2 linked regions of the Saccharomyces cerevisiae S288C genome follow. Changing the gene in region 1 together with any one later gene gives a genetic interaction. Each region holds a gene or a part of one and is shown on either strand. Other genes may lie near its edges. The genes, in order: RCM1 and BIT2.

Evidence for each region.
Region 2: mutations in RCM1 (region 1) and BIT2 together harm fitness more than expected from each alone (negative genetic interaction), as found in Saccharomyces cerevisiae (2 studies listed by BioGRID).

What each region holds. Positions count from the first base shown.
Region 1 is NC_001146.8:590,641-594,640, forward strand, and holds RCM1 (rRNA (cytosine-C5-)-methyltransferase RCM1), read right to left. Parts: upstream 2,260-4,000; coding exon 787-2,259; downstream 1-786. Other genes in the region: FAP1 (Fap1p), read right to left, coding at 1-520; histone deacetylase HDA1, read left to right, coding at 2,587-4,000.
Region 2 is NC_001134.8:742,059-746,035, reverse strand, and holds BIT2 (Bit2p), read left to right. Parts: upstream 1-1,637; coding exon 1,638-3,275; downstream 3,276-3,977. Other genes in the region: EFM2 (S-adenosylmethionine-dependent methyltransferase), read right to left, coding at 1-1,184; SDH8 (Sdh8p), read left to right, coding at 3,460-3,876.

The sequences.
Region 1 (4,000 bases):
CTGGATGCGGCCCTAGATGACAAATTTTGGAACAACCATGCATACAAGTAGAAGCATTGCAGGTTTGTCCACATGAGTTAGGATCCAGCGGATTCGGATCAGGATTAACAACTTTACCGCACCAACATGTGGGCCGATTTTTTACCGGAACTCTTTTGCTAACATAATAGCAGTTTGGACATTTCCATATTCTATCTACGGTTTTTTCCGTTGATTTTAACGCCCATTCTCTTATGCATCCGTAATCAAACACTCTATAACATCTCTTGCAAGCAAACATTTGGCACGTATAATCCATCTCTACTGTACAAATCATACAAACATATGAGTCACCGCTAGAAATTTCCTGGATCGCACGTTCGTAATATTGCATATCATCATCACTTTCCTCTTCATACGAACTAGGCTGCTCGTTGGCGTCTTCAACACTCGAAATACACCCATCGCTTAGGTTGTGATGTCTATAAGTGTCACCGCCGTCTTGATTTTGCTCCAGGCCTAAAGACTCATGTTCGGTCATTTGTAATGCCTACGACTGCAAATAGATTAGAGCAGTCTCGTCTCACGCTGTTTCACTTGGTTGTTGCCACTGTCGCAAGAAAGAACTTTTATATTTACGACCTTTTCACAGAGCTCATCGATAATTTTTATAATAGTATATTACCCGAAAATCTTCCTTTATGTGCGGGATGTATAGATTATTGAAATGTCTTTTCCGTAGTACTACAGCAAAAATGCAATAATACATATCAGATATACACATATATACATGAATGTTCTGAAAGTTTAATCTCTTTCAAAACAGACAGCAAAGAAACCAATACCACCGTCACTTTTTGGTAGTGCCCTGATACAACCCTCGGCAAGCTGTTGAGGGTCATAGGTGACTCCATCTCTAAAAACCTCTTCGAACTCTTCTACCTTGCCTCTTCTAGGCCAAGAAGGAATAACTTCTCTTTTTGGCGCTACTTTCCAACCCCATTCTCTAACTGACTTATCTAAAAGAAGGTCTATGACGACTCGTTCATTTTCTTCCGCATGAATGGAACATGTGCTGTATACTATTTTTTTAGCCGCTGGGAAACTCATTGCATGCTTTACCATCTGGAACTGAAATGAACTCAGCTTCGCTAACCTTGTCTGTAGTTCTTCCTTTGCTATAAACTCCTCTTGCTCATCCGGCACAATGCCACCATCGTCATCTTTATCATCAATTTTCCTTCTATTAAATGAGTCAAAAAACTTACGACCAAATATACCGCTACCGGAGCAGCTCGGATCTACAATAAAACAAGTAACGTCCTTATATTTTTCAGGAGTAGCGAGCTTTGTAAAATCACCTACATTGACACTGATGTTGGGAGAACAGCCAGCTATCTTGATCATTTTTTGTAAAACTTTTGCTCTTTCAGGATCCTTCTCGAAAGCGTATATTCGAGTATTATTGTCCTTCGGTGGTTCGGGATATATATAAGAGGCCGTATGGGTAGTCTTATTACCTGGAGCAGAGCAGGAATCTATCACAATATCACTTGGTCCTGGATTCAAAATGTGGGCTGGAAAACAAGAAGCACGATCTTGAATGATAATCTTCCCATGCTTATAAAGCTCATGTGCTGTAATTTTGTCAGACGGATGAATTCCAAACAAGTTTGGAATAAACTCATCATAATAGATAGACCCAGGAACTAGTTCAGACCATTTGTCTACCTTTAAAGTAAACTTCTTCCTCAATTCGGCTAACACCGGCTCAGTCTCACCATTTGGATGGCATTTTAATGGATTGATTCTAATCCATCTAACAGGAGGAAGGTCATTGGAAATATCCTCGCTTAATACCAACTCAGATAGCTCTCTTACTTTCAATTTGAGTTTCAATTTGACCATTTCGCTATGCAATGGGCTCTTAAACTTCAAAACATAATCTTTGATGGGGTGTTTGCCCATTTGAATTCTTTTCTGCTTAGACAACAGCAAATCATGGCAAAGCAATAACAAAGTTAGCCTTGAAAAGAGTGGTTTGCCCTTTTTCTTGGGTATATCTTCCAATATGTGTGCCTTTTTCATCACTTTCTCCAAATATGGTTTATATTTCCAACACGAATCGAGAACTGCATAAATATGTTTTGGATTACTTTTCAGCTTATATCTTTTACAGCTTTTCAGTACCAGCGTCTGCATAGAGCCGGAAATCCTTTCTTTTGCAGCCTCCTTCTCAATATCTTCTAGCACCCATGTTGCATCCCTGTAGAAATTCATGCTTTTTCGTAGCTAACTTCTCAGTGAAACACTTGGTGAAGAACCAGCTCTTCTCTTAACCTCATCGAATATTTTAGGCCAGTTTTTTTTTTCCTCACTTGCCATTTTCCCGCACCGTTTGGAAATCTCGAGGAAAATGCTTCTTTCCAAAAGTTTAATCAGGTCACTAATTAGGTAAATAGAGCTGGGAGGAAGCATATACAGTGTTTCGTCTGTGGAAGGAACTTTTATTTTTCTTAAATGTTTTAATTTTTAGTGACCTAATTCACATAACAAAATATTGAGAAAGGGAAAGTTGAGCACTGTAATACGCCGAACAGATTAAGCATGGATTCTGTAATGGTTAAGAAAGAAGTACTGGAAAATCCAGACCATGATTTAAAAAGAAAGCTAGAAGAGAACAAAGAAGAAGAGAATAGCCTCTCTACTACTTCTAAAAGTAAAAGGCAGGTTATTGTTCCCGTTTGCATGCCAAAAATCCATTATTCACCGCTGAAAACTGGTCTTTGCTATGACGTTAGAATGAGGTATCATGCAAAGATTTTCACATCGTACTTCGAGTACATTGATCCACATCCAGAGGACCCAAGAAGAATATATCGTATTTATAAAATACTAGCAGAGAATGGTCTGATTAACGACCCCACTTTAAGCGGCGTGGATGACCTTGGTGATTTAATGCTGAAGATACCTGTAAGAGCCGCAACCTCCGAAGAAATCTTGGAAGTTCATACAAAGGAACATTTAGAGTTTATTGAAAGCACAGAAAAAATGAGCCGAGAAGAGTTATTAAAAGAGACTGAAAAAGGTGATTCCGTATATTTCAATAATGATTCTTACGCGAGTGCTAGGCTGCCTTGTGGTGGCGCCATTGAAGCATGCAAGGCGGTTGTCGAGGGGCGTGTAAAAAACTCTCTAGCTGTCGTAAGACCACCTGGCCATCATGCAGAGCCTCAAGCTGCGGGTGGTTTTTGTCTCTTCAGTAATGTTGCTGTTGCTGCCAAGAATATCTTAAAGAACTACCCAGAAAGTGTAAGAAGGATAATGATTTTAGATTGGGATATTCATCATGGTAATGGCACACAAAAGTCATTCTATCAAGACGATCAGGTGCTATATGTGTCATTACACAGATTTGAAATGGGTAAATACTATCCTGGGACCATCCAAGGACAATATGATCAAACTGGTGAGGGTAAGGGTGAAGGATTCAATTGTAATATTACTTGGCCGGTCGGCGGTGTTGGTGATGCAGAATATATGTGGGCATTTGAACAGGTAGTTATGCCTATGGGGAGAGAATTCAAGCCTGACTTGGTGATTATTTCTTCAGGGTTTGATGCCGCGGATGGTGATACTATCGGACAATGTCATGTCACCCCAAGTTGTTATGGACACATGACACATATGTTAAAATCTCTAGCTAGAGGTAATCTTTGTGTAGTTTTGGAAGGTGGATATAACTTGGATGCGATTGCAAGAAGCGCTTTGAGTGTAGCAAAAGTACTAATAGGGGAGCCTCCTGATGAACTACCTGATCCATTAAGTGATCCCAAGCCTGAGGTCATAGAAATGATAGACAAAGTAATTCGGTTACAGTCCAAGTATTGGAACTGTTTTAGAAGGAGACATGCTAACTCCGGTTGTAATTTTAACGAACCTATTAACGACTCGATAATATCTAAAAATTTTCCTCTGCAGAAGGCTATTCGTCAACAACAGCAACACTATTTAAGCGACG
Region 2 (3,977 bases), on another chromosome or scaffold:
ACTACTTTTAAATCACTCTCTTTTAGTAATAATTTCAAAACCTCTCGTTCTTTGGCGTATTTTGCCCTTAAAGGTATTTCTAGGTGACAGGTCCCTGATGCCGCCAAAAACTTCGATATCATGTTAACTACCCATTCCGGATGCTGAGGCGAATATATCGGGTCGGCGATCAATATGACGTCAAATTCATTTTCATGTCCAAATTTATCTATAAAATCGTGAGGATTAGTCCAATCTAATATCTCTGCTTGAACGAAATCTCCTAAATTATTTAATGACACATTTTTCTTCAAATTCGTCACAATCTCGGGTAAATCCGTCACGAAGATTTCTATATTTTCAGTTCCATAAAGTTCTTTCCATTTTAAGGCCCATGAAAGTCCTACTAAACCAGTGCCCGCTCCTAATTCTAATACTTTAATCTGTTTGATGTCGCTGTTCGCTAACATGTTCACATTAGTGGTATGTAGGTAATCCAGGTGATCTACGACTAATTGTGAAAGTATTAAAGATGATCCCCATGTTTTCCAACCAAGATTATCGGCCGTTAAAGAGGGTTCATGAAGCGGTATGGAAGTGCTTAGATTTCTTAATTCAAAATATCTTACTATGGATGGTTGGGCCGTTCTCCCACAGTTTTCGGATATCCTTGAGCTCAATTCCTTAAGAAGTTCTTGTATGATTTCCTCATTCAATCCGCAACTATTATTGTATTTTTTCAATACACTAGTATAGTAGCCCAACAGTAGTTCTTTGGATACTGTAAATCTCAGCATTGGGATTTTATTGCATATCTTTTCCAACGAGTTTAACCTCTTGTTAGGCCATTCTTCTGTATACCAAGTCAAAAGTCTTTTCAGCAGATCGGGTTCCAGCCCATGACTCTTGCAAACCTCCAGTACAGATTTGTTCTTCCCTGTCTCCTGATTGAAGTTTACTTGTCTATCGGGCTTCAGAAGTATTAGTATACAAAGGATAACTTCTGGCGGAGCATACTTCACGGAGGGCAGATCCAGATTATCGATAATGGTGTCATCGTCGTCACTCTCTTCTTCATCTACAGCCGTTAATATTTCGTCACGTTGCGGTGAGCAAGGATCTTTTGGCTCTCTCTCTGCTAGATTGAACTGTAAAGCCTCAACCTGGATGTCATCAGGGGTGTACAAATCGAGAGGATCAAACATAGTGAAATATCCGCTATGGAACTCCTAACTTGCATGAGTTAGATACTTGAAAAGTAATATACAGATTGCACTACTATTATTTTGTAGCTCATCGCGAAATTGAAGAAAAAATTTACGATTGGAAAAAAAAAAACTACTATCAGAAATAGGTGAACCAATTTTAATGCCTGGATAGAGCTGCATACGCTACTAGCTTAAACCAATATTGGTGTCGCCTGTTTTCCTTTACCCAATCCAATATACCACTATACTGCGAATGAAGGTGTTGAAATAATTTGACAAGAGCACTTTATCCATTTTGCATGCGACCTTTACTAGCAATTTTTCAGCGATCTTTGCGGGCTTTAAAATAAGGTCAAAATTAAAGGGAGAAAGATAGAAGACAGTAAATAAAAAATACAAACCACAATAAGCATAAGTGGCTAGGCGAGTCTTAAACTACAGAGTCAAGCAATGGCAACAGACCTAAATCGTAAAAGAAGTGCTACCTCAGGCTCACTGAGCGTCACGAACCCGAACATAAAAGCAACTAATCGCAAACCAGCTAGAGTTTATAGTGTTTCTTCTGATATAGTACCGCAAGCGCTGACACATCCCGACGAAGATGTGCATCTAAAAACATCCAAATCTCCTCATGATGCCGCTCCTAGATGGTCACAGGTGGGGTTTCAATCTATATTCCATGATGGTTCCAATGCAAGGCGCTCGACGGATTCGATTGAAGAGGAGTACAGCCAAGGCACGGAGAATAACGATGGTCACTCCGAAATAGGTTCATCAAGTAGTAACCGAATGGAGGGGAACACCACGTCTAATGATAGTTTATTTTCTTCCAACTCAAGGGGCAATAAAAGGCGACTGTCCATCTTCACCAATTCAAAAGATAATATGAGAAATCGAAGCAGGAGCGGGTCAAAAAACTACGGCACTGTTATTACCGGCACAAGTAGTAACAACATAAGTAGGAGTGGCTCTAAATTGTTTCATACGAAATCTAATATGAGTGTGAACAGTTTACAATCTTCACTGTCTACAGGACATTCTCATTCAAACAAAGGCAGTAATGTCTTTAGCAAAATGGCAAAAAAGCTTTTACCCTACAAGCCGCATAATTCCATTGGTAAAGACGACGTTGAACCCGTAGTTCCCAGCCCATTCAGTAAATTTCTGCATTCTTCATATGGTAAACATAGGTCACCCGTACAGTTTATCCATACTTCTACTGGAGGCCTTATTGACTCTGGAAAATCTGTATATTCCTTTAACCCTAGCATTAACAACAACCCTAATGATACAGCTCTATCGCTGATCCAAGATGATGCTTTCGACGCGACTAATGTTTCTTTACTACATGATTTACTGAAAAACTTGCCATCCTTGATAGCAAACTATAAAAGCTTCACCGTACAGGAGTTATTTGTTCTGGAGGGGAATATCTGGGGTATATACTGCAGCATAGTTGTGGAGCTATTTAAAAACAAGAGGGTATGGCAATTGCCAGCAAAAATAGAAGATATTGACCGGCTGCTGGAATTTTATATCACTTTGAAAACACAAACCAAGGCTGCCGTAACGCACTCAAGGTTTTTGGCCGAAATCGAGGAATTCATTACCACTTCACTTTACATTTTAGAGAACCAGATTGTGTTCAATTATGCCAATGAGGATACCGTAAATACGGCTTTGAAAAGAGTCGGCATAATCTGGAAGGTGTTTTACCAACAGGTTTACTACGACATGATGGCAGTGTTACTGCCCTTCGAGAAAAGCTTCCAAAAAAATAGTAACTACTGGCTTGACGGATATCTATCTGAACCTTCAAGGTACGCACCGTCAATTGATGTCCTTTTATTAAAGTGTTTTAGAGACTCCATCATTCTTCCGTATTACGAAAGCTTCCTACATACAAATGACGGTGCCAGTAAGAGTTTTCAAAGATATATTTTCAGCGAGGAAGAACAGAACGGCGTCACAGAGGAAGATAAACTGACGCTGCTGCAGTGTTTTGGGATCCTGAATACCATAAAAGGTAACAGCAGAAACCAAAGAATTATTGGTGAACTTCTTGAGGGCATACGCATGAGTATATAATTAAATATTTTATTTAGTAATATACAATAGTGGCATATAGATAGGTGTATTTCCTTTTTCTTGTTCCAAGAATCCGGAAAAACAGATGCTCTTTTCCGCCCTATAAAGGGGCCAATGGGGAAAGTGCAGATCATATTAACTTGCTAAAGAGTCAGAAAGAACCAAATAATAAAAAGAAGAACTAATGTTGTGCGCCATCAAAAGCACAGGTTATCGGTATCCTCGCACGGGAGCCTTAAATCTACTACGTGGACGACCATTTAATATGGCCACCCGAAAAATAACTACTGAAAGGATCCCCGGCCCTCCCAAGCTGCCAAGAGAAGAGCAGGAAGAGTTCGAAAGACTTCAGAGGATTGCCACATCGCAAGAGGCAATAGATCAGTATAATGCGCAGGCCACCGGCGATCGTACAAAGGAGAGTTTGAATTCACCGCTTTTAACCAAAAACGATATTGGGTCATTCTCGCCTGAATTTTCCAAGACCATACCTGAATTCGAAGGTGATGTTAACCCCAAGACTGGTGAAGTTGGGGGTCCCAAGCAGGACCCGTTGAGACACGGCGATTATTCGTTTAACGGAAGAGTAACGGATTTCTAGATATTTGGTCCGGCCAATTTTTAATAATACTATTCTTATTTGATGAAACTGCGTAACGTTCAATTTACTTTTCAATATGTATGTTGTTATGCTTTATTTTG